7 linked regions of the Oryctolagus cuniculus genome follow. The protein of the gene in region 3 interacts with the protein of the main gene of each other region in a biochemical or structural test. Links are inferred from orthologs where the notes say so. Each region holds a gene or a part of one and is shown on either strand. Other genes may lie near its edges. The genes, in order: SQSTM1, TNIK, NEDD4, TRERF1, YOD1, UBE2E1 and HNRNPUL1.

The links.
Region 1: of the proteins of NEDD4 (region 3) and SQSTM1, one has a biochemical effect on the other in vitro, tested with the Homo sapiens proteins (2 studies listed by BioGRID). The link is inferred for Oryctolagus cuniculus from reciprocal best matches to the Homo sapiens genes NEDD4 and SQSTM1.
Region 2: the proteins of NEDD4 (region 3) and TNIK form a complex in vitro, tested with the Homo sapiens proteins (2 studies listed by BioGRID). The link is inferred for Oryctolagus cuniculus from reciprocal best matches to the Homo sapiens genes NEDD4 and TNIK.
Region 4: the proteins of NEDD4 (region 3) and TRERF1 interact in a test that uses a peptide from one of them, tested with the Homo sapiens proteins (2 studies listed by BioGRID and IntAct, with this or other methods). The link is inferred for Oryctolagus cuniculus from reciprocal best matches to the Homo sapiens genes NEDD4 and TRERF1.
Region 5: the proteins of NEDD4 (region 3) and YOD1 form a complex in vitro, tested with the Homo sapiens proteins (2 studies listed by BioGRID, with this or other methods). The link is inferred for Oryctolagus cuniculus from reciprocal best matches to the Homo sapiens genes NEDD4 and YOD1.
Region 6: the proteins of NEDD4 (region 3) and UBE2E1 form a complex in vitro, tested with the Homo sapiens proteins (7 studies listed by BioGRID, with this or other methods). The link is inferred for Oryctolagus cuniculus from reciprocal best matches to the Homo sapiens genes NEDD4 and UBE2E1.
Region 7: the proteins of NEDD4 (region 3) and HNRNPUL1 form a complex in vitro, tested with the Homo sapiens proteins (2 studies listed by BioGRID, with this or other methods). The link is inferred for Oryctolagus cuniculus from reciprocal best matches to the Homo sapiens genes NEDD4 and HNRNPUL1.

Annotation. Positions count from the first base shown.
Region 1 is NC_091437.1:67,652,898-67,657,506, forward strand, and holds the start of SQSTM1 (sequestosome-1), read right to left. Parts: upstream 2,862-4,609; 5' UTR 2,501-2,861; coding exon 2,059-2,500; intron 1-2,058. UniProt on the Homo sapiens protein: Molecular adapter required for selective macroautophagy (aggrephagy) by acting as a bridge between polyubiquitinated proteins and autophagosomes.
Region 2 is NC_091435.1:109,161,169-109,165,090, forward strand, and holds part of TNIK (TRAF2 and NCK-interacting protein kinase), read left to right. Parts: intron 1-373; coding exon 374-1,519; intron 1,520-3,922. UniProt on the Homo sapiens protein: Serine/threonine kinase that acts as an essential activator of the Wnt signaling pathway. Recruited to promoters of Wnt target genes and required to activate their expression. May act by phosphorylating TCF4/TCF7L2.
Region 3 is NC_091443.1:78,614,104-78,618,025, reverse strand, and holds part of NEDD4 (E3 ubiquitin-protein ligase NEDD4), read left to right. Parts: 5' UTR 1-745; coding exon 746-2,278; intron 2,279-3,922. UniProt on the Homo sapiens protein: E3 ubiquitin-protein ligase which accepts ubiquitin from an E2 ubiquitin-conjugating enzyme in the form of a thioester and then directly transfers the ubiquitin to targeted substrates. Specifically ubiquitinates 'Lys-63' in target proteins.
Region 4 is NC_091436.1:127,683,881-127,687,802, forward strand, and holds part of TRERF1 (transcriptional-regulating factor 1), read left to right. Parts: intron 1-73; coding exon 74-379; intron 380-3,366; coding exon 3,367-3,754; intron 3,755-3,922.
Region 5 is NC_091444.1:22,175,591-22,179,955, reverse strand, and holds the start of YOD1 (ubiquitin thioesterase OTU1), read left to right. Parts: upstream 1-1,485; coding exon 1,486-1,828; intron 1,829-2,704; coding exon 2,705-3,408; 3' UTR 3,409-4,365. Other genes in the region: PFKFB2 (6-phosphofructo-2-kinase/fructose-2,6-bisphosphatase 2), read right to left, coding at 1-688, 1,197-1,212. UniProt on the Homo sapiens protein: Hydrolase that can remove conjugated ubiquitin from proteins and participates in endoplasmic reticulum-associated degradation (ERAD) for misfolded lumenal proteins.
Region 6 is NC_091435.1:159,712,575-159,717,094, forward strand, and holds the start of UBE2E1 (ubiquitin-conjugating enzyme E2 E1), read left to right. Parts: upstream 1-1,730; intron 1,731-1,977; coding exon of another isoform or gene 1,978-2,403; intron 2,404-2,489; coding exon of another isoform or gene 2,490-2,569; intron 2,570-2,641; 5' UTR 2,642-2,673; coding exon 2,674-2,825; intron 2,826-4,520. Other genes in the region: basic salivary proline-rich protein 2-like, read left to right, coding at 1,140-1,730, 1,978-2,403, 2,490-2,569. UniProt on the Homo sapiens protein: Accepts ubiquitin from the E1 complex and catalyzes its covalent attachment to other proteins. Catalyzes the covalent attachment of ISG15 to other proteins. Mediates the selective degradation of short-lived and abnormal proteins.
Region 7 is NC_091449.1:13,324,041-13,327,962, reverse strand, and holds part of HNRNPUL1 (heterogeneous nuclear ribonucleoprotein U-like protein 1), read left to right. Parts: intron 1-448; coding exon 449-715; intron 716-2,229; coding exon 2,230-2,352; intron 2,353-2,436; coding exon 2,437-2,565; intron 2,566-3,922.

The sequences.
Region 1 (4,609 bases), on a different chromosome or scaffold from region 3:
AGACAAGCAGAGCTCCTATCAAGGGCCGGGACTGGGCTGGGCAGAAGCCAGGAACTCAATCCAGGGCTCCCATGTAGGAGGTGAGGACCCAATTACTTGAACTTTCACCTACCCCCTGCCAGCATCTGTCCTGGCAGGAAGCTGGAGTCGGGAGCTGGGATCCAACACGGGCCCCAGGTATCTTAATGGGTGAACTAACCACTAGGCCTGATGCCCACCAAGGCCACTTCTTTAGGGGTGGGGCTGGACAGATCGGGGATAAGAAGGGAGCCTGCCCATTCACTGGACAGGAAGTGTGCCCGCCTGGGCCTGAACCTGGGCCACGGTCACACCTAAAAGGCAAAGTTTCCGCGTACACTACACGGACAATAACAGTGCCCTGTCCCTCAGAGGCCCAGCCCGCCAAAGGCTCTGGGCTGTCTGCAATGTTTAAGTGGAGATGAGCCCAGAGGCCTGCTGCTTTCTCCAACGAAGAAAAAAGGCTGAGTCCTTCTATGTTGGCTTCCGTGATTTTAAAGCATTGCCACACAGACCAGACCAGACCGCACCGTGCACAGGCTGCAGGCGGGGCCTGGACTTGGGCACCAGAGGGCAACATCTACCCTCAGAGCAAGAGTGGCACTTTTGCGAAACAACCCAAAAGTCCATCAACTAATGACACAAACACGATATGGCATATCCACAAAAGAAACGAATACAGATGCAGCCTACACCTCTGATGAACCTGAACGCATTTCCCTAAGGAAAGAAGCCAGACACAAAGCTAAACTGTACAACCCCCTCTCCACCACTGTCCAGAAGAGGACGCCCAGGAGAGAAAGCAGCTCAGCGTTGCAGGAGCTGAGGGAGACAGGTAAAAGGCATGGGGTTCCAGTGGAGAGGAAGGGGTTCTCATGCTGACTGCCAGCGCCTGGCCCCGCTCTCCAGCCCCAAGTCTGCTCAGAAGTTCCAACTGGTGAATGTGTTAAAGACCACTGCATCGGGGCAGGCATTTCTGCAGCGGCTAACTGGCAGCCCGGAACACTGGCAGCCCATATGAAAGTGCCTGGTTGGAGTCCAGGCCACTCCACTTCTGATCCCGTTTCCTGCTAATGTGCACTGGAGGAGGCAGCAAAGGATGGTTCAAGTGCCTGGGTTGCTGCTACCCTCCTGGGAGACACTGATGGAGTTCAGGCTCCTGGCCTGGCTGGGGCTGGCAGCTGTAGCCATTGGGGAGTGAACCAGCAGATGGTAGGTTGGGGTGTGTGTGTATGTGTCTCTCTGCCCTTTCAAAATGAAATAAAATTTTAAACCCTTGAATTATATACTTTAAATGAGTAAATTTTATGGTATGTGAATTACAGCTCAATAAAATTGTCACCAGGAAATTAAAAAAAAAAAAAATGCTGGGCAAGCTACTGAGGGCGGTCCCAGCCCTGCTCCCTCCCAGGGGCGGGCCTTGGCCGAGGACCTCCCTCCCACACTGCTGTCCCGGGACCCCACCCCCAGCAGCAGCTACCGGTCTGAGCAGCGCAGCCAGAAAGAGCGGTGGCTCCGGGCTTGTCCCCACTCTGAGTTTGTGGAGAACGTTTCGACATCGGCCGTCTCCCCACTGCCTTGTCCCTGGGCGACCTGCGGCCTACCCCGGGCTCAAGGGCCCTGCGTCCCCCAGCCGCCCACGCCCACCACCCACTTTCAGGGCTCGCTGAACGCAAACCTGGCGCCGGCGGGCCCAGCCCCGGCAGCAGCAAGATGTCAGTGTAACCCGAGTGCCCGCCTGACCACCTTCTCAGCCCAGGGCCAGAGAGGACGCCCCGGCGCGTCCTTGGCGAGATCTGCAACATTATGGCGGGGAACAGGAAGCATCTAACGACCCAAAGTCCCCAGCCCGCGGGGCCTGATCGCCTCGGCCCCTGAGGGACAGGGCCTGGGTCACTGGGCTGGCACCCGAGGTGCAAGTGGGGTACGCGCAGGTCACCGCTCACCCAGAGCGCGACCAGCACAGCATCCCTTCCGACGCAGCCGGCACCGACTAGGAAAGGGCAGCCCCGGACCCCGGCCACCCCCCGGCCCGCTCACCGCGGTAGTGCGCCTGGAAGCCGCCGGGCCGCAGCGCCGGGAACAGAGCGGCCACCCGGGCCAACAGCCGCTCGCAGGGCCCGGGGCCGGCCGCTGCTTCGGCCTCGGCCTCCGGCTCCGGGCTGAAGCAGAAGCTAAAGCGGCGGATCTCGCGCGCCGCCTCCTCTTTGCCCAGGAGGTAGGCCTTCACGGTGAGCGACGCCATCGCAGCCGGAGAACGACGAGCAGCTGCGCAACCGAGGGAGCACCGGAGGAGGCGGCGGCGGTGGCGCCAGTGGCGCGTGGCTTTTGTAGGGCACGCGGAAGCCCCGCCCGACGTGGACTCCTGGGGGCGGAGCCTGCACTCTTCGGGTGCCGCCCCCCACCGCCGGGGCCGCCTCTCGCGAGTCTCCCTGCCAGGGCCCCGTGCCTGCTTGCCCCTCTCCCCGCTGCCCTTTGACATGGTCTACCGCTCTCAGTCTGTCCCCTCATTGCCCCCAGGGCACCGGAGACCCCCAGAGCAGGCCTCAGCATCTGTACCTCCTGAAAGGAATGGGCTGGGGTCCTGTCCGAGGCCCCTCTCCGGCTTGGGCCTGGCTGTGACTCAGCAGAGCAGGTCCCTGGTCATCAGCAGGGGTTGCCCAGCACAGGACAGAGGAGGACACACAGAGCCCTCTATCCCAGGAGGCATCTAGGCTGCCCAGTGGGCACCACCAGCCGGAACCAGCTGGCTGCTAGGGTACCCTGCTGCCCTGCCATGCGTGACCCCCAGAAGGCAGCCCTACACCAACCACAGCCTCCTGCATGAGCGTCCCTAGCTGTCCAGGGCCGGCTGGCCGGCTCGTCCACTAGCGACGGCAGTCAGTCACCAAGTGCTGACTGCAGCTCAAAAAGACACATGGACGCCCCCAGCCCTGTGAGCCCAGCAGGCTGAGCCTGACGCCCCAGGCCCTTCCTCACCATCACCAGGAATGGTTGATCAGGGGTCCTTGTTTTAGCACAAGAACTTCAGCCATGGGACAGAATAGCAGCAAGCGTGCTGGCCAAGTCTGATGAAAAGAATGCACCTGACAGAGTAGGCGGGCATCTCCATCAAGAGCTGAACCCACCTGCTTTCAGACTGGGGTTTCTATGGATACGGGTATAGCCCTCTTTCTCCTCTCCCCTCCCCTCCCCTTCTGGGACACGTCTGGGGGAAGGGCTTCCAGAGTGTGGAATTCCTGAAATTCCTCCCAGAACTTCATCAGCAGTATTATTGGACCTAATAGCCACACACACACACACACACCCCCCCAATGCAGGGCAGGGATTTCTCTAAGCTGCCCCTGGGAAAAGGCTGGGACCCACTCAACAAGGTTATAGAAGGAGACCAAGGCTCTTTTTTTAAAAATGTGTTTATTTATTTTACAGGCAGAGTTTTGGATAAAGAGAGAGGTCTTCCCTCTGCTGGTTCACTCCCCAAATGGCTGCAACAGCCAGAGTTGAACTACTTCGAAGCCAGGAGTTCCTTCCAGGTCTCCCACGTGGGTGCAGGGTCCCAAGGACTTGGGCCATCCTCCACTGCTTTCCCAGGTCATAGCAGAGAGCTGGATCAGAAGAGGAGCAGTCGGGACACAACCGGTGCCCAAATGGGATGCGGCGCTGCAGGTGAAGGCTCAGCTGCTGCGCCACAGCACTGGCCCCACCTGAAACTAAGACTTTTGAGATGTAAATACTGCTCTGCTTCCCAGGCTTGCTTCTGTGGTTCTTCCCTCACCCAGCCACACAAATTCCCATTTCTTCCCTCTCACAGATGCAGGCTGCCTAACAGACCTGTCAGGGCAGGGGGCCAATGCAGCAGGTGCCTGCCTGTAGGGCCTCAAGAGTGTTGGCCACAAGGGCGGCCAAGGGGATGGGACCAGTCACCTTTCAGCTGGGAATCCAGAAACTCTGCTTCCTGGGACCAAAGTGACCTGTCTGCAAGGCCTGGGGGAAGGCGCTGGGAAGGGAGGTGTGTCACCCCCCCCCCCAGACCTCCCAGGCAGGTCCTGTGACTAAGAGTCAGCCCTGTTGGGTCAAACCCCCCCCCTTTCAGGTCAAGTTTGTGGGAGCAGCTTGGGAAGCCCAGCGATGAGGGTGGGCTGGTTGGATGGGGGTTAGGCAGATGCACAGGTGGCCAGGCCACAGGAGTAACGGGATCCTGCCCAGCGAAGCCAGCCAGGCTCCCGTGCCAGGAGCAGCCTTGGAGAGGCTGGTCCATGATCCCTGCCGCTGTGAGCCTTGGGAAAGTGTCCCTGGGCCTGCTGGCCCCTCTGCCCCAACACAGGGTCGGGAGTCCCGCCAGTGAGGGGCGTGCTGGGCAGAGGCTTCGGCCTGCGGCAGGTGCCAGCCAAGCGTGACTCAGCAACAGCAGCCCGAGCGCCACGGAGCCCAGGGGTGGGCCGCCCGGCTCCCCTGGGTCTGAAGGCGGCCTCAGGTGGACCAGGGCTGTCAGGGAGCGCTCCAGGGGCCGCCCTCCTCCTGCATCCCCCACCCCCGCCAGGACACCGGAGCCCACCAGGCCGCCGCCAGGAACACCTTCGTTCTCTCGCGG
Region 2 (3,922 bases), on a different chromosome or scaffold from region 3:
ATGTTTTACATGAAATCTGATTTTTATAAGAATGTTTCTTTGTTTTTCTATCGTATCTTACATATGTACAGAAAATGTTTGAAATGATATTCTCCTAGTGTTAATGAAGGTGGTCTATAGGAGGTAGAATTTTAAAAATTGACTGTTTCTTAAAAAATGCACTATATATATTTAATAATCGTATACTCTAGTGAAAATGACTTTTAAGACTTAAAAAAAGTAAATCTATAAAGAAAATGTTTTGGGTTTAAGGTCAAGAACATTGTTATCACTTTCCCCTATAATCTGTAAACATGATCCATATTTACCTGTGTCTGTAATAGCTGCCTCTTTCTCTTAGATCAATAATTCAATTTTGTAATCCTACTCCCAGGTACAGCAACGACCCCTTAGTAATCCATCTGTTCTTCCAGCTAAGCAGAATCACTATGCTGTTAAACAGCAGCTGACATGCTTCCTGGCTGGCAGAGATGTGCCGCCTTCCTCCACTGCTAAGCCATTGTCTAGCCATGCCAAGTTGAAACCTTCAGCTAAGCCCGACCCTCAGCTCCTGAGCGTGGCAGGTGTTCAGAAACCTGAAAAACTAGCCTCTGTGAAGGCCATGCCGGTAGCACCTGCAGGAATCAGTGATTCCAGATCAAGACTCCTGGGTGAGCGTCACTCGCGGAAGCAAGATGGGCCAGCTCGTCCTATTAGACCTGTTTTGGACGAACAACTGAAGCCCCAGGAAACGTCAAGGACCACAGTGAGATCCCCAAAGCGATCTCGCTCGCAAGGATGTAGCCCAACTCGAGAGTTAGGATCTAAGGTCATTTGTGTGTCCTCCCCCAACATCTCCAAAGTGACGAGCCCCCAGCTGGCCCTCACTGCAGCTAAGGAGGGCCTCAGAGACTCGCGTGGCCCGCAGGACAGGAGGGGCGTAAGTTCATGCGTCTCCACAAGTACCTCACCTCTTCTAAGAAGCGCTGCGTCACTAAGTGATCTCTGCGTGGTGCCTGACCACCCGGCCTTCAGTGGTGCCAGCCCCAGGCGTGAGTTTAGAAAAGGGGCGCCTGCGGATGCCGCTGGAGAGGACCACGACTCCTTGCAAAGCATCCCAGCCGTTCTTCTTTCCTCTGGGCTGCTCCCGCGTGCACACACACCCCCGAAAACGGGGGAAAGCCCGAAGCAGTGTCTGCTTCCCTCCTCCAGCCTCTGCCCAGCACGTTCCGATTGGAACTTGTCCACTTTGAATTCACTGATTTCTAGTTGCTATTTGTCCTCGTCACTCAATTTCCTGGCCTATCCTGTCTATTCAGAAGCAGTGCACAGCTCCCGAGCTTTCCGAAGCCCTGGCATCCCTGAGGGTAAATCTTTGCAGATGTCGTCCAAACAGTTTCCTAGACCACCTCCTCTGCCTCCTGGCCAGGCTCCTAGCGGTAACAGAAACGGAGCCGTTGGGCATGCAAACGACATGGCTGTGTCATCAAGCACTCCTGATGTGAGGGTCCCCGGCCACCATAAGTGTGGGCTGCCTCTGGTGGGTGACGTCTTGCGAGGTTCCTGGCTTCCTAGCAGCTGGCACTCCTTCTTTGAGCTTCATGCACTTCTACACATACGTGGGAGCCTTCTTTCACATTACATCCTCTCCTCCTGGGTGTGGTTAACAGAATCCAGCTGTGAACTAACCATCAGTGCACTCATGAAATGATTCCTAAGCCTTCGAGCGGGCGGTCATGTTTGAGAAGACAGATGAAACATGTAGATGGTAGGAGGAGTGGCAGTGCTATCTTTGGGATTGGAGCAATTGGTGTGCTAATAAGAACAAATAATTGTCTGCCTCGGTTTGATTCATCATTTTTAACACCCACTTATTAAAACAGGAACAAAAATGAATGTGAGGATCCTTATCTTCTTGTCTTTCAGTGCTTCTCATCAGCAATGTATGAACTGTTCCTCTTCTGAACCACTGTTTACAGATCTCTTAAACCAGGGAGGGTGAGGGGGCTCAGAGCAGCCAAATAGTAACATGTTTCAAGACTTTAGGTAGGAATAGAATTCCTAGCTTATCAGTCTCTTAGCTAGCAACTGCTAAGCTGGGTTAAACTCTGCTGGTAGAATAAAAAGGTACCATTTTCTTTTTTCAAATGTATCCTCATCGGGATGTAAGCTTGAAAATATCCTCCCCAGGGAAGAGTGGGCAGCCTGTGTCACTGTGTCCTGTGATGCAGGGTCAGGATTTTCTGCCCCAGATGCCATGGAAGATACCACCCAGCTGTCTCCCTACCCCTTGCAACGTCTTCTGGAAGCTGCCCCACCACCTGTTTTCTAACTCCGCGCTCTACCGTCTTGTCAAGATGGGGCTTTTCCCCCCTTCTTTCATTACTTTCCCAACCATTTCTCTCCCTCACGCCAAACCGGCAGTTTTTCATCAGCGAAGTGATGTTACGCTTCATCCTCTGCGTTTTGATTTCTTCATTTTGTAAACCAGAAGTGATCGTGGCGTTTCTCATTATCTTTCTCATTAATATTTGTTGGGTGCAGTAAAGACAAATGGCAATGCTCAGTCATTTGCAAATCTTGTTCAAGGCTTCCCTCCCTCCTTTTCCTGCATGTTTTTCTTCTGTCCTGAAAGTCACATTGGCTTGACTTTTCCAGGTTTCAGCTGGAAAGGAACAATAGTGTCTGCATTAAAAGGACAGACTCTGCTGCTCTTTATGTCTGCCATCTCTGGATTGGAATGGAAGTCAGATTTGCTTTGTAAAGGACCGATGGAATTTGAAAGTCCTTTTTCCCCCTCACTTTTTAAATGCTGGAAGTTCCTTTTTTTCTTTCCCCTATTACTCAAAATGGCATGTGATTATCAGGGCCTGGCATTAACTTTGTGGCCACCCCCTACTAACCTCCCACATACTTAAAAATTGTTTTGCACCAACATGCAGTAGTGACAGGATGCTCTAATGCCCTGTTTACACGAGTGTTGCATGAGACTGTGTTTTGATTTCTGTGACACCCCATCCTGTTCTCTGATGCATACTCGTCATCTGGCCATAGTTCTAAACTATGATGATCTGTTCAGGGCCACAATACTTCTTTGTTTCCCATCAGCCTTTTGGATTCTAAAACCCTACGAATAAAGACTTCTCTGCTTGGATTTTTTTTTTAAAGATTTATTTATTTGCTTGAAAGGCAGAGTTACAGTGTCGGGAGGTGGGGGGTGGGAAAGATCTTCCATCTGCTGGTTCACTCCCCTAATGACCACAATGGCTGGAGCTGGGCCAATCGGAAGCCAGTAGCACCCACGTGGGTGCAGGGACCCAAGCACTTGGGCCATTTTCCACTGCTTTCCCAGGTGTGTTAGCAGGGAGCTGGATCAGAATTAGAGCAGCCAGGACTTGAACTGTTGCCCATATTGGATTCCAGCACTGTAGGTGGTGGCTTTACCCACAATGCCACTGCACTTGTCCTTCCACAGTGTTCTACAAGTGAACTGTTTTTTTATATGAGCTACTTTATATTTGAGATTCCCAGATTATCTTTTCTTTAAAGCTCTGTTCCCATCTCTCCTCATTTTCTACTTGTTTTGCTTACGTTTTAACATAGAGAGACCTGGATGGAAACAGGAAGGAGTGTGCTTGAGGTCAAGTTCTTTGACTATGTGGCCTGGGGAAAGTTGTCTCACTTTGCCGAGATGCAGCTTGTCATCTGTACTTCCTGCCTCACAATTAGGAGGACCGGGGGCAATAATGTATTGCAATGCATGTGACATTTAAACTGTGAGCACTGGACAAATGTAAATGAAATACACATATAATATTCAGCATATTCATTTTTGTTCCCAAGGCCATTATAGCTTATAGTGAGCATTCTGCCTCTGTTGTTTGTTTCTTTCATTTTTAAAAGATTTACTTGTTTATTTGAAAGTCAGTGCTACAGAGAAGGA
Region 3 (3,922 bases):
TGAAGTACTTATCTGTTTGATTTAATGCTAAAAGTTTAATTCACTCCCCAAGTTTGGGTGTTTCCAAGTTTATACAACTGTTTGAATTTTCTTGTTAAACGTTTGTTAACAGCCCGGGTTCTTTCTACATTAACTAACTTGACTAGATTCCTAGTATGGCTACTATTTGGAAATTCAATCTTTGATTTGATACTCAATTACATGGGCTTTCATTCCTACCAACTTCCTGTAATTCTATACCTTTGGGTAAAAATATTAGTGGCCAAACTGCTGGAGAAGGTAAATGCACTGTGATTCACAGAGTTAAATGCTCATTTAGTAGAGCTGGGGTGAAAAAACACTGTTTCGACTTGAAATGCTAGAAGATTGTTGTTCTTGTGTTACTCATTCATGCAAATTGGAGAAGGTATAATTGAAACAAGGTTGGCTGTGTTTGAGTCAGTGTGCTGCAGCTGAGCTCAGCTTAAAGGTCGCTGGAAATCGAGTGCTTTGTAAGTGAAGGCATTTTGACTACAAGCGATTCAAGACATTTTGGAATCGTCAGTCTCAGGAATGGGCCGTCTTTTTCCTCCTGTGATATCTGGTATCTAATGGTTTACTGAGGGTAAAGGCTACTGCTTCGTGGCTCTTTCAGGCACCACCAATGATTTTTTCTTTTGCTGCGGTGCAGCTGCTTCTAGCCTGTCTCCCGACAGAGATCTTTGTTATGACTTTCAGCCCTTAACATGTTTGGAAATGAGAACAAATGGCACAAAGCTTACGATTGCACTTTGCAGCCAGAAGAAGTAATACTTACCCTTTGTCAGAGACCTCCGGAGATGATTTGGATAGCCATGTCCACATGTGCTTCAAAAAACCAACACGGATTTCAGCGTCTAACGTGGTGCAAATGAAGCTGACTCCCAGACAGACTGCCCTAGCTCCATTAATAAAGGAAAGCGTTAAGGCTCAGGAAAGATCATCTGTTCCTGCATCTGAAAATGTTAATAAAAAGAGCAGCTGTCTACAGATTTCGCTGCAGCCAACAAGGTACAGTGGATGTCTTCCGTCTTGCAGTGTCTTGGCTGATGGTGATGATGTGTCTTCGTTTGCTCGTGTCTTGAAGGATGACATTGACAGCAGTGCTGTGGTTGATAATGAACTAAGTGCTGTGAGTGATGGCAGCCTTTTGAGCAGTTCTGCCATTTGCAGTGGTAGCCTCAGTAACTTTTCAGTCAGTGATAATGGATCTTACAGCAGCACCGGTAGTGATTATGGGTCATGTGCAAGTATCACAAGTGGAGGGTCGTACACGAACAGTGTCATCAGCGACAGTAGTGGTTATACTTTTCCCTCAAGCGATGATACTTTTTTTGGTGGAAATTTATATTCTGACAGCACCTCCAACAGAAGTGTGCCAAACAGGAATACTACTCCCTGTGAAAGTTTTTCAAGAAGTACAAGTACTGTTCCTTTTGTCCAGGATGACTTGGAGCCTGGAATAGAGATTATGAAATTGCCATTGAGCAGGAACCCGAAAATTCCACTCAAGCGCTGCTCATCCTTAGTGATTTTTCCTAGGAGTCCTTCAAGTACCCCACCAGCTTCTCCAACAACCACAGGTACTCTTCCAAGCAAAGGCTCCTATCAAACTTCTCACCAGTTGCTCGTGTCTCCTAATGAAATTGCACATAATGAAGATGGTACTATTTCTAAGGGATTTCTTTCCACAGCCGTCAATGGACTTCGGTTATCTAAAACAACTTGCACTGCTGGAGAAGTGAGAGACATCCGGTCGCTTCATGGGAAGGGCTCATTGCAGAAGAAAATTGTCCTTTCAAATAATAGTCCGAAACAGACTGCCTGTGAGAAGTCGCCTGAAGGATATTCTTGCCTTTCAGTGCATTTCACCCAACACAAGGTGACCACAGTAGATGGCAAAACTACGAGTGGTCATTGTAAACCAGAGAAGTCGGGAGTTAAGCTTAATTCCGATTCAGAATGTAGCAAGCTTGTGCACAAGACATCTGCATGTTTGCCATCCTCCCAAAATGTAGATTACCAAGTAAATGTCAGTGGAGAGTTGGAAAGACCAAATTCACAGATAAACAAAAGCCATGCCATTTTACAAAGGAGTATTTCATTGGGAGGAACTTATCCAAATATTGCCTGTTTATCCAGCCTTAAGCACAGTTGTTCTAAGGGGGGACCATCTCAATTACTCATAAAGTTTGCATCTGGAAATGAAGGTGAAGTTGACAGTAGAGATGTCACAAGTGAACTGTCTAATTCTTGTAAGGTAAGTTTCCTTTGGTCTTGGTATATGATAATTTTACACTAGAATAGCTTACTGAAATATTTTGTTAACATTTATTAAGTTAGCATTTCCTGATCCTTAGCTACCAAGTATTATATAGTCAGAAACATTATATTTATAAATCCAAAGAATCTCTGATAGTTTTCTCACTTTGTTAATTTAGCAGTTTCCTGTATATTTTATATATATATATATTTCCTATATCTTTTTAAACCTCTCCTAAGTGATTTAAGCAATAAAATGTTTAAATGGCATAACAGCAAGTTTTAAATAACAACCTACTTCAAAACATTGTATCTTGGTTTATTTTTTTTCTCAAGTGGCGTACTATTTTATTAAATAACTCCTTATTTTATTCCTACTTTCAAAAATGCTCATTTGCTGTCCTCCCTTCCCTTACTATTGTGAAATGAAGTAAGACAGAATGTTTCTAAATGATAGTAAACAAAAAGCTATGTGAAGTGTGAAGATCTTATTACAAATGACTGTAGGAGAAAAATTTCCATAAAATATATGTATTTATAACATCACTGATGAAACTACCATACTGCATGTGCAGAGCAGAGGAAAACTAAGTGGCATCTGCGTCTGTATAGACCCCAACCACAGGAATTTTGTTTCCACCCTATTTTTCTTTAGCCACCAGTTAATACTGCCTTCTAAAATATAGCTCATTCTTTTCAACAATATTAAATTCTGAGTTTTCTATGTGTGAATTTGGTTTCAGTTGCTAGGCATTTCCCATAATTTTCTACTTAGCTTAATAATTTGTTGTTTTGACAGTTTGCTTTATTATACTAGTGATTTTAACTCTAGTAAATCTTAGCCAAAACAATTCTTTATATAATATGGCCTTTCCAAAGTATTTAAAGTATTTTGAACACAAATAGATTTTTGAGTTTCTGTATTTGGAAGCTCTTGCCAGAGTCTAGGAAATTTACAATTTTTCTCTGACTAAACCTCTTCTAGATGACAGGACATAATGGGTTTTTTCTTTTTGTGGGGGGAGGGACGTATCTGTTTGTGTTTATGTAACATTCGGTATCTGTATTAAAGATTAAAACAGAAAAAAAAACAACTTCTGGACAAGTAGTTTTAGGTCGATGTGAAGTAATAGCTCATTTGTTTTCTGTCTTTAGAGATCTGATAAATATAATCATTGTTGCCCATGCCCAAAGTTAATATAGGCAGTGTCTTACTGAGGATGAAATAAGATCAGATTTCAGATTCTGATGTATGTTTTAGAATTGCTCACTCCATTTAGAAAACTTGTTTAAAATCAGCTTTTGGGAGATTATAATCCCTTCAACTATTTTCCCCTACAGAAAGAAATGAAGTGACACTGTAAAGAAACATATTAAAAGCTGTCGATTTGAACCTGATACAAGTTGCAAATTTATTTTACACTTAATTAAATAATTAATCTGTAAAGAATAATTAATGTAATAGAAGTATTAATGCAGTTGATTTTCTGGCAATATTATAAGCTGGTTTTGTTGGTGCTTTTGAAAAAGGGTATTTTTAAAGGGCTTTTTATGGAATGTGAATTAAATGCCTTTTGCATTGCTGGGAATATACATTTTTAGCAGTTTTATTTACATCTAGGTATGCCACCTTAAATTTTTT
Region 4 (3,922 bases), on a different chromosome or scaffold from region 3:
GAGCAAAGTGCATGCCCCCCTCCTTGTGAGAGCTGCTGCCAGCCAAGGATCAAAGCCTTTATTGTCTGTGTAGGAGGAAGGAGAGAAGGCCCCGCCGCCTCCGCCCCAGCCGCCACTGCCGCCTCCGCCTCCGCCCGCGCCGCCGCAGCTCCCTCCCGAGGCCGAAAGCCTCACACCCATGGTCATGCCCGTGTCTGTCCCTGTCAAGCTTCTCGCACCCAAGCCCAGCTGCCAGGGCTTCAGCAACAGCGTCGCTGCCGCCCCCTCCGCCAGAGACCAGCCGGCCAGCTCCGTGTCCGACGACGAGATGCCCACGCTCGTGAGGATGACCCTCTCTCCCCCACACTCACCCCCAGGGGCTGCCCCCCACGCACCTGCCGTGAGTTGCTGCTCCGCACCGCCCCCCCCCCCCCCTTGCCTGGGCTGGGACATCCCTTTGCTTTCCTGGAGATGGGGTCGGCTCGTGGCCTGAGCCTCTCCCGGCCCAGCCCCCTCGTCCACACTGGTGGCCGCCATTAAACACCTGTCACTTTCCGGGCTAACAGCCTGGCTTAGATTTGGAGATACCTGAAGGTGTCTACAGAGGTGATGATTCAGCTGGCAACCACCAACACAGCCAGACTGCCTGTTAACTGTGGAAGTGTTTCTGCCCCAGATAGTACAGAGCTGTGGCCCAGGGCCCTGGCTCCTCCCCAAGATCACCAGACCTCTCCAAATCTACCCAAATCCAGCAACCAAACAGGTAGCCCCTGAGACAGCAGGGCGTCCAGGCAGTAGCCCTGCCATGCATTCTGATGCCCAGCCTCACCAGCTGCTTAACGTTCTCAACATGCACCTGCTTAAATACCTATAAGGACCTAACTCGTGAATGTTCCCCAGGTAGTTTCACAGCCAGCCAGCCACCCCCAGTCTCAGGAAAGCAAAGAGATTTGTGTCTCTCACTTGCTATTAAGTTCTTCTGTCTCTCTAATTCTCAGTGCTCACCCAAGCAGCCAAACTCCGCTCAGGGGCAGAGCCTTCCCCTACAACCTCCCCAAGGGATCCGGGACCTACATGGTTGGCTTTATCAGACCCGCCCCCACCCCCACCCCACAAAGTTGCTGGTTGAATCCTATCTGTCCTTTGAGACAGGTGGCTGCTGGGCTATCAGGAGGCAGTGTGGTAGGGTTGGGCCAGAGAAGGGGTAGGGAGGGTAGTTCAGAGCCTAGCAAAGCCCAGACAGAACCTTTATGGTTCTGTATGTGGCGCTGGGGTCTCAGGACAGGAACCTGATGGAGAACCCGACGAGTCCCATAAGCTGGTAGGACTTGGGAGCCAGCAGTAGGCAGAGAGGCACTGACACTTCCAGACTCCCCCTTTGCCCCGGGGAGGGTGCTGATGTGGTGCCAGAGACCCTTTGTACCCTTGGAGATCTGTCAATCAGGGGTCCTGACAGCACCCACCTACCCACCCATTCTAGACGGCAATGAGAGAGGAAGAGAAACCCATGCCCTGCACAGGGCTGATGGGAACACAGGGAACCCAGAGGGTCCCTGACTTTACGATGCTTGAGTTCCAGTGTTTCTACTGGTGTCGGGTGGCAGCCTCGGCTCCCAGCTCCCAGCAAGCTACACACTCGTGTGTGCTGTGTCGCTGAGCTCTGACGCTTGGCAGGTCAGGGGCGCTCCTTTTATTTCTGACTGGGGGTATTTTCAACTTCAGATGGCTTTAAGGGGACACAGCCACATCGTGAGTGGAAGAGCTTCCGTGCCTGGGGAGCTGATTAGGGAGTGGGAGCACCCAGGGCATTGGTGGGAGTTTGCTCAAGGATTGCTGAGCAGGGTTTTGAAGGAAGGGATGAGCTCAGCTTAGTGGAAGGGTGGGGGAGATCCAGCAGGGAGGGGATTGGCTGAAGTGGCGGCATGTAGGTGGGGCTAAGTCAAGATGAGCAAAGTCCTGGCACTAAAATATCTGGGAAGGAGCCTTGAGTTCCAATCCCCACTCTGCTCCTAGCCCCCTGGGAGGGAGCAGCTGAGACCCAGTTTGCTCCCCTGACCTTGAAGGGGGTGGGCTCTGAAGTGTTGTCACCCTGCCCTGTGGGCCAGGGCTTGCCCCCCTCCCCAGGAGTCTGACTAGCTTGGTGGGCTGCAGGTGCACCTGTGGTATTCTGGGTGCTCAGAGTCCTACCTGGAGAACTTAGAGCTGCAGTCACAAGACAGGAGGGTAGAGGAGAGGGAGCCCCAAGGGGACCTGTGGCCCCGGGGCAGAAGTCCAGGCCCCAGGGTGAGCTCTGCCTCTACCTAGAGAACCTCCACAGTTAGGGGGAGCAGGGTGTCAGGTTTCAGGATCGCTCCCCTCCCCCCATTCTCCTCAGCCTCAGGCACCAAGGAGCCCTCTGGTGGAGAGAGGAGACAGGCTGGCCTGCTCTGGCCTGAGGTGAGCTGCCTGGGGGCGAGGTCAAGTTCAGAACCTCCTCCTGGGTCAGGGAGTCTGAGGCAGCTCGGCCCCCTCCTCCCAGCCCCAGCTCCCTGCTTCCCTGAGCTCCTCTGCTGGAGGCCAGAAAGCTGAGGGAGAAGCAGGAAGTGCTGAAGGAGAGCCGAGGGCCTGCCGGGCCAGGTCACATGGTCTGGAGACAGCTAGTCATGTGACCTTGTCCAGCCCGTCCCATCACTCCTTGCTGCCTCTCCCTCAGGAGCCCCCCTGGGCACAGGGATCCCAGGAAGCCTGGTTGTGACTGGCCACTGGCCTGCAGGGCCTGGGAGGGCACCACAGCCTGGTCTGGCCCTCTCCACAGGTACCCCCTCTCCCAACCCCAAGGCCCTTCCAGCCACACCCAGCGGGTCTGTGTGGCGCCCGCACGCCGGCTTCCTCTGCACAGACACATGTTTACTTAATAGTACACATGTATCCAGGAGGCAGGTCTCCCCAACATGCTGCTGCCGCCCCCGCGAGCTAACGCCGCTCGGCTGACAGGAAGTGGGGCTGCGAGCTGCAGCCAGGGGTGCTGAGGCGGGAGGCGGCCAGGTCCACGGGATGGGAAGCAACAAGAAACCGGCCCTGAAGCGTCTCGCAGGGCCCAGGGCGGGTCGCCCCCTCCTCCTGCGCCCCAGCCTCCCCGAGTAATTGCTCTGAGCTTGCAGGTTCCCGCTTCTCGCCCACCCGCTAGTCCTGCCACCCCCAGCTCCCTCCAGACAGGAGGGGTGTCTTCCATAGCCCACGTCTTCTCCCTTAGCGGATCTGCCACAGCTCGCTTTGCCTGAAGTGGATGTCGCCCGGTGGGCTGGGAGGGGCCGGGCGGAAGCCCCCTTCCCCGCCGCGCACGCCTGTGGAGATGGCCCCCCTGGGCCGGAGCCTACGGTTCCAATCCCATCCTCCCTCCCGTTTCAGGAAGTCCCCAGGAAGCTGCAGTCGGGAGCGCCCAAGGCTGAGGAGCCCCCCAAGACGGTGCAGGAGAAGAAAAAGTTCCGGCACCGGCCCGAGCCCCTCTTCATCCCGCCGCCGCCCTCCTACAACCCGAGCCCCGCCTCCTACTCTGGCGCCACCTTGTACCAGAGCCAGCTGCGCTCCCCGCGCGTCCTCGGCGACCACCTGCTCCTCGACCCCGCGCACGAGCTGCCCCCTTACACGCCGCCGCCCATGCTGAGCCCGGTGCGCCAAGGCTCGGGGCTCTTCAGCAACGTCCTCATCTCCGGCCACGGCCACGGCCCCGGCGCCCACCCCCAGCTGCCCCTCACGCCCCTGACACCCACGCCGCGGGTGCTGCTGTGTCGCTCGAGTGAGTGGGCCGAGGATGCCTCCTCACAGGTGTCGTGTGCGTGGGGTGGCGGGGTCCCCCCTGTCTGTGCTGGACGCTCCCCAGGAGGCCTGCCTGTCTTTTATCTCCTGTGTGCCAGACGCTGTGCTGTGTGCTTAAAAAAAAAATACTTAGAATGAGGTAGAGGAG
Region 5 (4,365 bases), on a different chromosome or scaffold from region 3:
AGAGAACCACCGACCAACCGGGCGCCGGCGGATGCAGGGGGCGGGGCTCCAGGCGGAACCGCGGACCCTGGCCCCGAGGAAGGGTGAGACCAGCTCCGGAGTCTCCGGGCTCCCGGGCGGGCTGCATCGTTGCTTGGTAACCAACAGGGCTGGGGGCGGGGCCCACAGAAAGCCTGACTGTTCTGTAAAAACTCTCGCGAGACTGAACCGCGCCAGCCGGCGTCCGCAGAGGTTAACGCTTTCATCCCTGAGTCCCAGGCGGACAGCGTGGGATCCGCACACCCGAGCGAAAGCTCTAAGAGGCGCCGGGAGTCGGCGTCCACCGTGCTCTTGAGGGTCGCGCCCCGAGTGTTCGCGTGCCGCTCCCCGTGGGTCAGACCGTGTACCCTAACGAGGGACCGGGGGCTTCCCGGACCCAGCCATGCGCCCGGCTGGACTTCACCCACCGTCCCGCCCCCGCCCCGCCCCGCCCACGCGACAGCATCTGTGACGGTCGTGTTGAAGGCCCGAGGCGCTCCACGGCACCGGCAGGGGCCTGGGTGGGAAAGGTGTTTGCAGAGAGCAGGGGCTCCTCGTGGCCACTCGGAGGCGGCGGCGCTGGCGGTGAGTTTGCACGTCCCAGGGGCCTGCCCTCGTCCCGCTGATGCTGGAGGCTGTAGAGGAGGAGCCCTGCCGCTCTGGGTCCGGGCTGGATAAAGAGCAGTGCAAATGCACTTCTTGGGCTAGAGCTCAATCCCGGGGCGTCTCTACCCCCCCCCCCCACCCGGGAGCGAAGACATTCTCCCAAACAGCTCGAACGTGTAGCTATCTCCCCTTTCGGCGAGTGGCAGCGGCCCTCCCCGTGCCCCTGCGCTGTACGCCAGGCACAGCCCTGGGTTTTAGGCCTACAGCGTGGGGAAGGGCCACCTGACCCCGCACTGTCTCCTCGCCGTGACACCCAGCGGCGCCGCGGCTCCCACCGCGAGTCTCTCCGCGCCACCGCCGGCACCGAAGGCGGGGACGCGGCCGACTCGGGGTCTGTCCGCCCGGGAACTGCAGAGGCAGCTCGGGCCCCTCGCTCCTCCTCACACTGCGCCCCCCAGGCTGGGGCCGGCCGCCTGCTGCCGCCGGGGTGGGAGGGTCGGGCTTCCGGCCCCTCAGCCCCGGCGCGGGCGGCCACGAGCCTCCGATGGCGTCTGACAGCCCCGCTGACTCACTGGCCATTCCTAGCATTCCGAGCCGTGTCGGGCGGAGGCCCCGGCCGGCCTAATCACTGGCCGCCGACATTCCACCCGACTCCCTCCGGGAACTGCTTCCCCGCCCTCTTCCCGCGCGCTGTCCTTATAAGCCGCCGGCGCGGAGCGCGGCGAGGCCAGGGATGCTTTAGGGATACGGGGCGCATCCTCGTCCCTGCAACACCAGCGACCACTTTAAGGGAGTTCGCTCTCCTCCAAGGGCCGAGGCGGAAAGTGTCGCGAGAACTGTAGCCCGCGCCGACTTCTCGCGATGTTTGGCCCCGCGAAGGGTGGCCATTTTGGAGTCCACCCGGCGGCCGGTTGCCCCGGCGGCGTCTCGCCTCCTGCGGCCGCCACCAAGGCTGGCCCCGCGGGTGTCTGGCCTGTGGGCGGCCAGTCCGACACGATGTGGCGGCTGCGCTGCAAGGCCAAGGATGGCACCCATGTTTTGCAGGGGCTGTCCAGCCGAACCCGGGTGCGAGAACTCCAGGGCCAAATTGCCGCCATCACCGGGATCGCCCCCGGCGGTCAGCGAATCCTCGTCGGCTTTCCGCCCGAGTGCCTGGATCTCAGCGACGGGGACACCGTTCTGGGGGACTTGCCCATCCAATCAGGTAAGGGATCGGAGCTGGGACCAGCGGGAAGGCCTGAGGGGCGCGCGCGGGGACGGAGACCCAGGCAAGGCAGGTGGCTGGGGGCGCTGACGGAGGCCGGGCCAAGTGTCCGGCAGCTCCGTGCCTTTACACAGGGCTGGAAGAGAAGCCCAGAGCCCAGGAGTTCGCCCTCCCCAGCCTGCCTTCTGTGCTTCCCTGAAGCTAGCTCAGCCTTGTTTTCCCCGTGCATCCGCAAAAGTTGGAAAAGGTAGGGCCTGCCTCTCGGTCCCGAGCGCTCGTTCCCGGTGTCGCTCGTTGGCCAGCCGGTCTGAAGGGTCCGGGGTTATTCCTTTGGCTTTCCTGGTTCGTTTTTGCAGTCCCCCGCGTTGAATAGTTAAGTTTAACAGGTGCACGCCTCGTAGAGTTAGCTTGTAAACATCCACGGAGAGCTCTTTCAAGTCCTAACCGACAGTAATTATTTGTGTCCAGTGTTAAAACTTGAACATCAACGTTGTAATTAAAAGCTTTTTGTTCTTGGATCCGGGACCTTGTAAACACAAGCGGGGCGAGAGAGGCCAAGTTTCAGGAGGGCGAGAGCCCCCTAGCGGCCGGTCTAGGGAAAACACCCTCCGGACGAAGGCTTCGCAGGCAATTTTGTTTTAAATGTATCTTTTTAAGGAAGTGTGACGGTGTAGGCCTCCGGCTTCGTTTGCTTGGGGTGCAGCTTGAAGTCTGTTCTGTTTTCACCTTTGTGAACAGTCGGGGTCAGGTGTTTCTAGTGTTCCTAGGGGCAGCAGTGTTCTCCATCGTAACCCCAGCTTCTATTTGTAATTTACAGACTTGGCTAATCTCATCTGTCATTTCTCTGCAGTTCTGGATCTGTTTTATTTTTAACAGGCGATATGCTGATCGTTGAAGAAGACCAAACCAGGCCCAAAGCTTCACCTGCATTCTCAAAACACGGTGCTCCTAGCTATGTCAAGGAAACCTTGCCTGTGCTTTCCAGGACTGTGGTCCCAGCAGACAACTCCTGCCTCTTCACCAGCGTGTACTATGTGGTTGAAGGAGGCGTCCTGGATCCAGCTTGCGCCCCTGAGATGAGACGCCTCATAGCACAGATCGTAGCGAGCGATCCAGACTTCTACAGTGAGGCCATACTGGGAAAAACAAATCAAGAGTACTGTGACTGGATCAAAAGGGATGATACTTGGGGAGGAGCGATTGAAATCTCCATCTTGTCTAAATTTTACCAGTGTGAAATCTGTGTAGTGGATACACAGACGGTAAGAATCGATCGCTTCGGGGAAGACGCGGGGTATACCAAAAGGGTCCTGCTGATTTACGATGGCATCCACTACGACCCGCTGCAGCGAGACTTCCCGGATCCAGACACGCCGCCTCTGACCATCTTCTCCTCGAACGATGACATTGTCCTCGTACAAGCACTGGAACTAGCAGATGAAGCTAGAAGAAAGAGACAGTTTACCGACGTCAACCGCTTCACCCTGCGATGCATGGTGTGTCAGAAGGGGCTGACTGGACAGGCAGAGGCAAGAGAGCATGCCAAGGAGACAGGCCACACCAACTTTGGAGAAGTGTGATCTATGCATGATGAGGGTGGAAGCCTACTACCTCACAGATCCAGAAGGCTCTGGGTTTTCCAATAAGCTATTCCTGACCCTAAAGAACAAAGGACACAATGCTTGAACCACACCTTGAACTTGAAACCACTAAGACACTGAAATTCCTTGTTAAGATTAAAATTAGTGTGCAAGTTTACAGATGTGTGTCTACAGTGGTGATGCCTGCCCTCTTTCCACGGGGGTGACAGAACAGGTGGCCCCCCACCTGCTGGAGATTGAGTTTCAGTATTATAAACTAGCACGCAGCAGCTTTCACCTGTAGAAGAAGAGAACGCCACATTTCGAGTAATGTTGACAGCCTCTCATGAGGCCCCGGACGTGTACCAGTGTCTCCAGTAATTGAGTCCTTTTAACAACTGAGTGAGTTAATAGTTTCTAAATTATGAATTGATTTATCAAACGAAGATACTCAGAATTGTCAAAACTGATTTTATATTGCCATTTGGTAGACTTTATCAGTGTGTACTTAACCACTTCTGAGTACGTAACAAGCAATCTTTACAGGGATGAGTGCGTTCCTAGAGAATGTCGCTGACAGCAGGAGCGCCTGTGTCCTGCTGCGGATTTCTGGTGTGTGAAGTAGAATGTATGAGGAAAAGGTGCCTGAAGCAGCTCCCTGCGGCTTCCAAGGACGTCAGCCTCGTGTGTCAATGCACTTCCTGTGCTGGTCTTTGTCATGTTGGGTACAATTTTAAAATTAAGCAGGGTAATTTTTTTTTAATCAAAGTTCCTTGAAATTCCAGTATTTGATTTTTGCTTTCTTTACATGAAAATTTGGAGGGATGTAATTTTCTCAGCTTTTTGTCACGAGAACTTCCTCCAAAAAACATCTTCATCCAAAGTGAGAATGCTATGCTTCGGCTTGTGTTTTACAAGACTTTGCATACCTGAACAGTGTTTGGTGTTGTGCCAGCC
Region 6 (4,520 bases), on a different chromosome or scaffold from region 3:
CAAAAAGCATACAACCTGTTTTTGTCTTCAAATGCCAGCGTTTTATGTGCTCTTCCCGGCTCTTGAAACCAAAGACTGAGCAAGGTTATGTCTGGGGATCTTTCCCAAACCCTGATCAAGGCCCCGTGAGGTTCCTTTGGCTCTGGGCTGCTGGAACCTCCAACAGCTGCTGCTGTGGTCGCTTCCTGGTAAGGATTGAGCAAGAAGCGTGCACAATTACTTTATGAGTCTTGATAAAGCTAAAAGGAGTTCAGCTGCGTGGTGAGTAGACCTGTTTTCCTGATTTCTGGCTATGTCACCGGCCTTAGGTTTTGTGTTGTCCTCTGGTAACAGAGGCCTCTGTTGTCACGGGAAATGAGGGCAATTTGAATAATTTAAAGCGGCCCACGGAAGTCTAAGTGGGCTCTCTACGTACAAGACCCTGTGTGCGAGCAACTGTTGTGTTTGGACAGCACACAGTTCTTCAGTTCCCTGCAACTGAAGTGACAAAACCCACGTCGCCAAATCGCGTTGATGGCTTAAGACAGTAAAAAAATGATTTTTGGTAAAAAGGCGAAATAAGGAACAATTTAGAAGGATGCCTGTGATTATTCTAAAACTAGGGTTTGAACAGCATTTATATTGTAGCTCAAGCAAGTCCAGCGGTCCCCAGAACTTTCCATCCACTCTCCCTAAGTCAGGCTAGATACCTGAACGCACGCGGACAGCAACAATTCTCAGTGCGGTCTAGTTCAGTTCGTGCGTGATTTCCCCAGTTACAGGTTGGCTCACTTGTCACGAAATCCTCTGTATCCCTTTTATAAAACCGGACCACTTTCCACCCCCCCCCCCAAAAAAAAAAGTGACTGGCAGAATCTGACATTGTAGAATCGCACGTGCCTCGTGCCTGGAGCAGGTACCTCCTGGCTGGGGTTTGCTCCCAGGCGTGCGTGCCCGGGCTGACCTCGCTCCGGGCAGGTAAACGGCCAGGAGCGAAGCAACCCCACGCTAACCCCGTGCTGGGGTTTCTCGCCTCACTTAGGAGGACTTCCCGGGGTCGGCTCTGGTCCGAAGTCCTGGCCAGCAGCAAGCCCCCCCCACCCCGCCCCAACTCCTCTGGTCGGGAAGAACTTGCTCTCGCGACCCCCTCTGCCGTCTAGTTCCAGTCGCTCCCGGCGCCCCCACCTCTCTGCCGCCCGGAACCCGGGTCCCCGGGCCACTTGCAATTCACAGCCGTGGCCCCCTCCCCGGGCGCGCGGCGGAGGCGCGGGGCCGGCGTCCCCCGGGTCCCCTGTGCGCCCCCCGGAGGGCTGGCCGGGGGGGCAGGGAAGCGCGGTGGGTGGGTGCGGGCCGGCGGGGGCGGGGCGAGGAGGAGGAGGAGGAGGAGGCGAGGAGGAGGAGGGGTGGGGAGCGCGAGCGTGTGTGGCTGGGGGAAGCCATTGCCTGTTTAATAGTTGCTGTTGCTGCACTTCCGCTTCTCTCCCAGCGAGAGCGAGACACGAGTGGCCAGGCCCAGCCGCAGCCGCAGCAGCAGCCGCCGCGGCGGCACGGAGGAGCCAGACACAAAGAGAGGTACGGGGATCCCCCCCGCCGTCCGCCGCCCCCCGGCCGCGCCGCCCGGGCCTCGGGGACGCCCGCGCCGCCCGGGCCGCCGGGCGCGGGGCCGGAGGAGGGAGGGGGGCGGCCGGGGGCGCCCCCAGGGGTCCGGGGCCCGCCCGCGGGGGATGGGCAGGGGCTCCGGGCCGCGTGGGGTGCGGGCCGCTCGCGTCGGGGCGGGGGGTGGGGGGGCATTGTGGCTCGAACTGTCAGCGCGGCCCCGGGAGCCCCCCACTGGCCGCCGAGGGGGCCGCGAGCGGGGGAGGGGGAGTCGGGGGAGCCCCGCTGTGTGTCCCCCCCCCCCCCGCCCCCAGGACGGGGGCCGGCGGAGAGGAGCCCCTCCCGGGCCGACGGGCGCATTGTTATTCCCTCGCCGCGGAGGCCGGCCCCCCCCCCCCACAGCCTCCCCTGGCCCTCCGCGGGGGGCGATCGGGCGTGTGCCCGGGACCCCGGCCCGGCTTGCGCAGCCCCGGGGGGCGGGCGACCGAGGGCCAGGCCGGCGGGGAGGGGCGTCGGGGCGCGGCGCGGGAGTGTGTGTGTGTGGGGGGGCGCTCGGGCCTCGCCGCCCCTGCCCCCACCCGGGCACCCGCTCCCCGCCCCCGGCCCCCCGTTTCGGCTTCCTCTCTCACTCCTTCCCGCCCCTGCTCTCGTCCCGACCTCGCCAAACTCCGCTCGTGGCCTCCCCCCACCCCCCGCCCCGGCCTCCTGGGCCGCCGACCCCCCGCGACCCCCGGAGAGCGGACAAAAACAGCCCCGAGGCCGGCCGCCTCCGGACCTCGCCTCCCGGCCCGGCCCTGCTTGGCCGCCTCGGCTTCCCCTTCTGGCCTGGTGGGCAGCTCGCTGGGCCCCAGACCCCTGTTCCCGCGGCCCCCACCTGGGCCCAAAACAAGCAAGCCGCGTCCGACTTGCACCAGCCTCGCTGGGCCTGCGGACTTCGGGGGAGCGCGTGTTGGGCGGTGGGCGGCGGGGGGCACCCTGGCCCGGGCGCCCCTGACGGCACCGGCCGCCTTGTTTACACCGCCTGCATGGCTTGTCTGTTTCTGTTCTGTCTCCCTCCCCGCTGCAGGGGCTGTTCGCGGGGTGGGTGGGGGGTTCGCTATGTCGGATGACGATTCGAGGGCCAGCACCAGCTCCTCCTCATCTTCGTCCTCCAACCAGCAAACCGAGAAAGAAACAAACACCCCCAAGAAGAAGGAGAGTAAAGTCAGCATGAGCAAAAACTCCAAACTCCTCTCCACCAGCGCCAAGAGGTACGTGCCCGCTTTTCCGCAGGCTCCCTGTCTCCAAGTGCCTGCCTCCCAATGCGGGCCGGCTCGGTGTGCGCGGGGCTGTGTCCCCCGAAATGAAAGACGTGGCCTTGAAAGTCCTCCTGACTGTCGCTTTCGCTGCTTGTGTTTTTCTTTTTAATTATTGTCCACTTGCGACCGTGGCGGCTTGCCTCTCTCTCCATTTCTTGCTCAAGTTTGGAAGAATCTGCATCACTTTCATTGGTGACCCTCGAATCTGGTTTCAGTTGGCTTGTCCTATTAATCAGTAATCTGTGCCCCTCCCCAAAGCTGTCATCGGGTTCTTCATACTAATAGCTGCCCAGGCAACTCTTAGCAAAATGAATTCTTGGACCATTTTCCTTTTTGGTCACCTGTTGCACAGATGATATTTTTTAATAGTGTTTTCTCTACAAATTGCATAAGGAATAAATGGCTCTCGTTAGGTGGTAAAATATATGGATGGATGAATGGATAGATGATTGATAGATAGATAGGTAGGTAGGTAGGTAAGTAGGTAGTAGATGGGACTGGTGTTGTAGCGAAGTGGGATAAAATAATGTTTGGGATACCAGCATCCCATATTGGGGTGCCTGGGATGGAGTCTCAGCACCAGCTTCCTGCTACTGCTCCCGGGGGGCTGTGGATAAAGGACCCCCAAATACCTGGGTCCTTGCCACCCCTGTGGGAGACCCAGATGGAGTTCCTGGCTGCTGGCCTGGGGCTGGACTAAGGCATGGCTGTGCAGCAATTGGGGAATGAACCAGCAGCTGGAAGACCTCTCTCTTCCTGTGCCTTCTAAATAAATACATGTTTTATTTTAAAAAAAGATTTAGTAGGTGAAGACATGCTTTCTGAAGGAATTTAAAGAGATTTTTCTGATTTGGAGGGTTGAAGCAAATGGATCAATAATGGTTGTAAAATGGTTATTTTGAGGATTCAGTTTTGCTACTAAGAATGTCTACTTACCAGATTTCGGGGAGGCATGGTTTTTTCATGCTGTTTGCTCTTAGGCTGTAAAAATGTTGCTTCACCTTTGAAGCCAAGCAGTGGCTGTTTCTTCTTCAAGTCTCTGGAGGTGACCACTTGTTAGCCCTGTCGCTGTCTTTGAGTGATACCCGTGATGCCCTTGACCCTTAAAATAATCTGTAGTAAGTTCCTGGGAACCCCCAGACACCCACTCATCAATCCTCCTGTTCTCGGCTGGTCATTAAAGTGGCTATCAGGAATCCAAGTGCTGAGTTCAGACACCTTACTTAAAGAATCTGAAATCAGATGGAATCTGGGGCTGTAGGTCTGTCCATTGAGGAGGGAGCCTGCAGTTTGTACGTGCAGAGTTTGTTCTGTCACTGAAAATTCGGTCAAGTGTTTTGGTGATTTACCCATGGGCTGATGAGGGAGTGACTTGTGCTTGTTTTACATGGCGTGGGGGTCTGGGGTTCCGTGGCAAGATGGTTCTAATTGTCAGCGGCCTGGTTTGATGCCTCTGGCCGGCGCTGATGGGAGCCTGGCTGGACAAGCCGTTCCTTAACTCCTCCCATTCCCCCAAGCCTTTAGGTTCCCTGACCTGCTCAAGGCAGGGTATTTGCTTTAGGTTGTTAGTGTTTTTATATTTTGTGGGACATCCCTGCTATATAGAAACCCTGGAATACCTGGGGGTGGGGGTGGGGTAAAGGCAGG
Region 7 (3,922 bases), on a different chromosome or scaffold from region 3:
TTACCCAGAAGAGTAAGATCTCAGGTAACAGTGTGGAACACGTGAAGGCATGTGCAGAGCTGGACTCCACGTTCTGAGGCCCAGCTGTGGCTTCCTTCATCTGTTGCCTACACAGCGTGCCCTCACCAGCAGTGAGGACAGGGCAGGACCGCCTTTTCCTTCATCTTTGCCGGGGGAACTAGAGTCAAATCCTTAGAGCCTCTTCAAGTCACTTGTTTCTCACCCACCAGCTTCCAGGTCTTGGGCAAGGAGGGTTTGGGGCTGGACATTGTCTGAGCTGTTCCCTGGTGCTGTCTAGCGTGCCTGAATGTTGAGGAATTCAGTTAAGTCTGAAAAGTTGGCTGTTGTTTCCACTCCCTGCATCTCCTGCGTCAACTCTCTCCCACCTGTGGCTCCCAGGGCCTTGTGCTGAGAGTTGGCAAGTATTGTCATTGACTTTTTCTCCCAGGACTTTGAATGTGGAAACGATGTGGAACTTTCCTTCACCAAGAATGGGAAGTGGATGGGCATTGCCTTCCGAATCCAGAAGGAGGCCCTGGGGGGTCAGGCCCTGTATCCTCATGTCCTGGTGAAGAACTGTGCCGTGGAGTTCAACTTCGGACAGAGGGCAGAGCCCTACTGTTCTGTCCTCCCAGGATTCACCTTCATCCAGCACCTTCCCCTCAGCGAGCGGATCCGCGGCACCGTTGGACCAAAGAGCAAGGCAGAATGTGAGGTGAGCAGACTCAAGGCCGCACTGGCGTCCGCCTCCCACAGCCACCTAGCTGCTGAGGCAGAGGGGAACTAAATAGCCGGGTGTGGGGAAGGAGCATGCTCACTGCGAGAGTGACTGGGCCCAGTGGGCCCCTCAGCCCTTCGTGTGGAAGGGTGCTCTGAGTGGGAGATGGGTGGAGCTGCTGTGGCTTAGGCTAAAGAGGAAGGGGCTAATGTCATCTACCTGAGTCTTAGATTCCAAAAGGAGGGAGGGCTTTGCCTCAGCAGAAAGGACAGCAGGCGATTTCTGGGGGTGCACTCTGCCACCCAGGGTGTCTGAGAGCAGAAGACACAGGCGGGCTTTGGAGATGAGTAGGCTCCAGGAGCTGTCCTGGGGATCCTGGTTTTTTGTTTTCTGGGTTTTATTGTGTTTTGTTTTGTTTTCCAGATTTTTTTATTATTATTATTATTATTTGAAAGAGTTACAGAGAGGAAGAGAGACAGAGATCGTCCATCCACTGTTTCACTCACCAAATGGCCACAATGGCTGGGACTGGGCCAGGCCTAAGCCAGAAGCCGGGAGCTTCTTCTGGTTTCCTATGTGGCTGCAGGGGCTCAAGCACTTGGTCCATCCTCCACTGCTTTTCCAGGTGCATTAGCAGGGAGCTGGATTGGAAGTGGAGCAGCTTGGGTCTCAAACTGGTGCCCATATGGGTGCGAGCATCGCAGGCAGAAGCTCAACCTGCCATGCCACAACACCAGCCCTGATCTTTGTTATTAAATAGTGTTTGTTTTTTTTTTTTTTTTGTATGTGTGAGTTAAGTTTATTCTAGAAAATAGGAAAAAAAAATTTCCCCTCTCCACCACCACCTGCTCATCAGTTCACTTTGAAGAGTTTTGGTATTCTCTTTGGTATGCCGGGAGCCTGTTTCGGTGTACACATGTGACTGAGATCTTAGGGTATTAGGGTTGGAGCATTGTGACAGCCTGCCTTGCTCCCTCACTAGTGCTTGTGAGCTGTAGCCCACCACAGGAAAGCCCTGCTTTGCACATCATTTTTATTGACATCCTAAACTGCCTTCTCTTCTCCCTCCTTATGAGGCATTTAGTTTGCATCTAGAGTGTGCTGATTCTGAGTGTACTGATTAGGAGTGATCCTTGTTCGTGTGTGTACAGCTCGCTTCCTGTTTCTGACTGCAATAAGTTCGTACCACTTCTCATGCCCACTGTAGGGACCGGCCCTGGAGCACAGTCTTTCTGGGGCTTTTCCCTGTCGGAGTCCCTTTTCCTGCCTTGACCAAAATGTCAGTGCTGGTGATGACAGCTGTTGAGTTAGCACTCATCCCTCGCCAGGCCTTCGGCCAAGCATCTGACCAGCCTGACCCCTTTGAATCGCAGCTGCAGCACTGTGAGGCCGGTGCTGCTGCTGCTGCCTCCACTTTCCGGGGCAGCCATGAGATCAGAGTATTCTGTTGTCACCGCCAACAAAGGCAGTGCCAGTCCCCATGCAGCATCCCTTTGCATCTTGTGTTGTAGATTCTGATGATGGTGGGCCTACCTGCTGCTGGCAAGACCACTTGGGCCATCAAACATGCAGCCTCCAACCCTTCCAAGAAGTACAACATCCTGGGTACCAATGCCATCATGGATAAGATGCGGGTAAGGACAGCGCTCCGCACCTCCCACCTGCTCAGTGCTGCCCTGCAACTAGGACCACTCACTCCTCACCTCTCCCACCCTCAGGTGATGGGCCTGCGCCGACAGCGAAACTACGCTGGCCGCTGGGACGTCCTGATCCAGCAGGCCACCCAGTGCCTCAACCGCCTCATCCAGATCGCTGCCCGCAAGAAACGCAACTATATCCTAGACCAGGTGCTCACTGATGGCAGCATGTCCTGGGAGGGGGCGGGCCTCTTGGGTACCTAAAATTTCCCCTCCAGCCTTCTCCTTTCTCAGTGCTTTTCGGCTGTGGTGCTGGCCAGGGTTCAGCCATACACGAGGATGCAGTCTGGCCTCTGCCCAGCTCCCAGGCCCAGTCTGCCGGGTTTGGAGCTGCAACCAGGCCTGCTAGCTTTGGCTCAGCAGCAGCTCCAAAGGACATCATTAGGGGAGAGCCCTTTAATAGAATGGAAGAGGTGTGGATTTATGAACCTGGCAGGCTGCGGCTGAAATCCTGGCTGTGCTGTTTCCTCACTATGTACCCATGGCAGCCGACTTTACCCTATGGGTCTCAGTGTCCTGGTCTGTAAAGTGGAGGTCATAATGGCATGCAATACCCAGCAGGGCCTGGCACGCAGTAACTGGTGATTACGATTACTTCCTCTGCGAGTAGGCATTTCCCAGCTTCCTTCACCAAGTTTTTATGATTGACAGGTAAAAACCTAAGTCATGTATTTTTTCCTGACATTTCAGCTAACATCAAAGGATTTAAGAGCCTTTGAAATCGAACATGGAATACTTTGTTTTATATTGTATATGCACATGCACAGAGATACGTCTTTTTTAAAGAAACGAGACAGTTTTGAGTTAGAAAGATTGTCCATGGCTTTCAGCATTCTCAGAAGGATGAGTGACCCCAAAATGGTTAAGGATTCCTGTCTCAGAATAATGACTTCCACATGCTTGTTGCCTGTGCAACGTCACACTTGACATTTGTCCTGAAGCCATACTCAAGGAGCAGAGAGTGTTTCCTTATTTTCCATATTTGTGGATCTGTGAATAAGCCTTGGATTTATGATGCGTAAGAGTCTGTGAGTGGGCAAATACAGACTGCTGTTCACATCCTTGGTACAAGGGTGTGACACCCCATCCTGTGGCCTCACTGAAGTGTCTTCTGTGTGTATAGCCTGAGCTGCTGGGTCACAGGGTCTTGGTGAACAACCAGTGATGGTTGTTGGCTTGTCAGAGAGGAATCCCCAGGGACCAAGTTGCATTCACGGAATGTTGAGAATCCTGCACCACGTAACGAACACAGGCTAGCCCAAAAGCTTCTCGTGGTTATTCTGCCAGCTTGGCTGCACCAATAATGCATCACCCAACTTCCTCTCACTTGGAAGACTGGGTTTTTTTTTAAACCCTTGGCCTCACTTTGTCTCCTTGTGAGGGCATTTTAGAATTTTAATCTGACATGGCCCCAACTGGACCTCATGGTTCTGAAAGCAGAGCAGTGGTACTGTTCAGCAGTCTGAGCATCCTCTTTTGGATACCCCAGCAACTGTTCCCTGCCTGT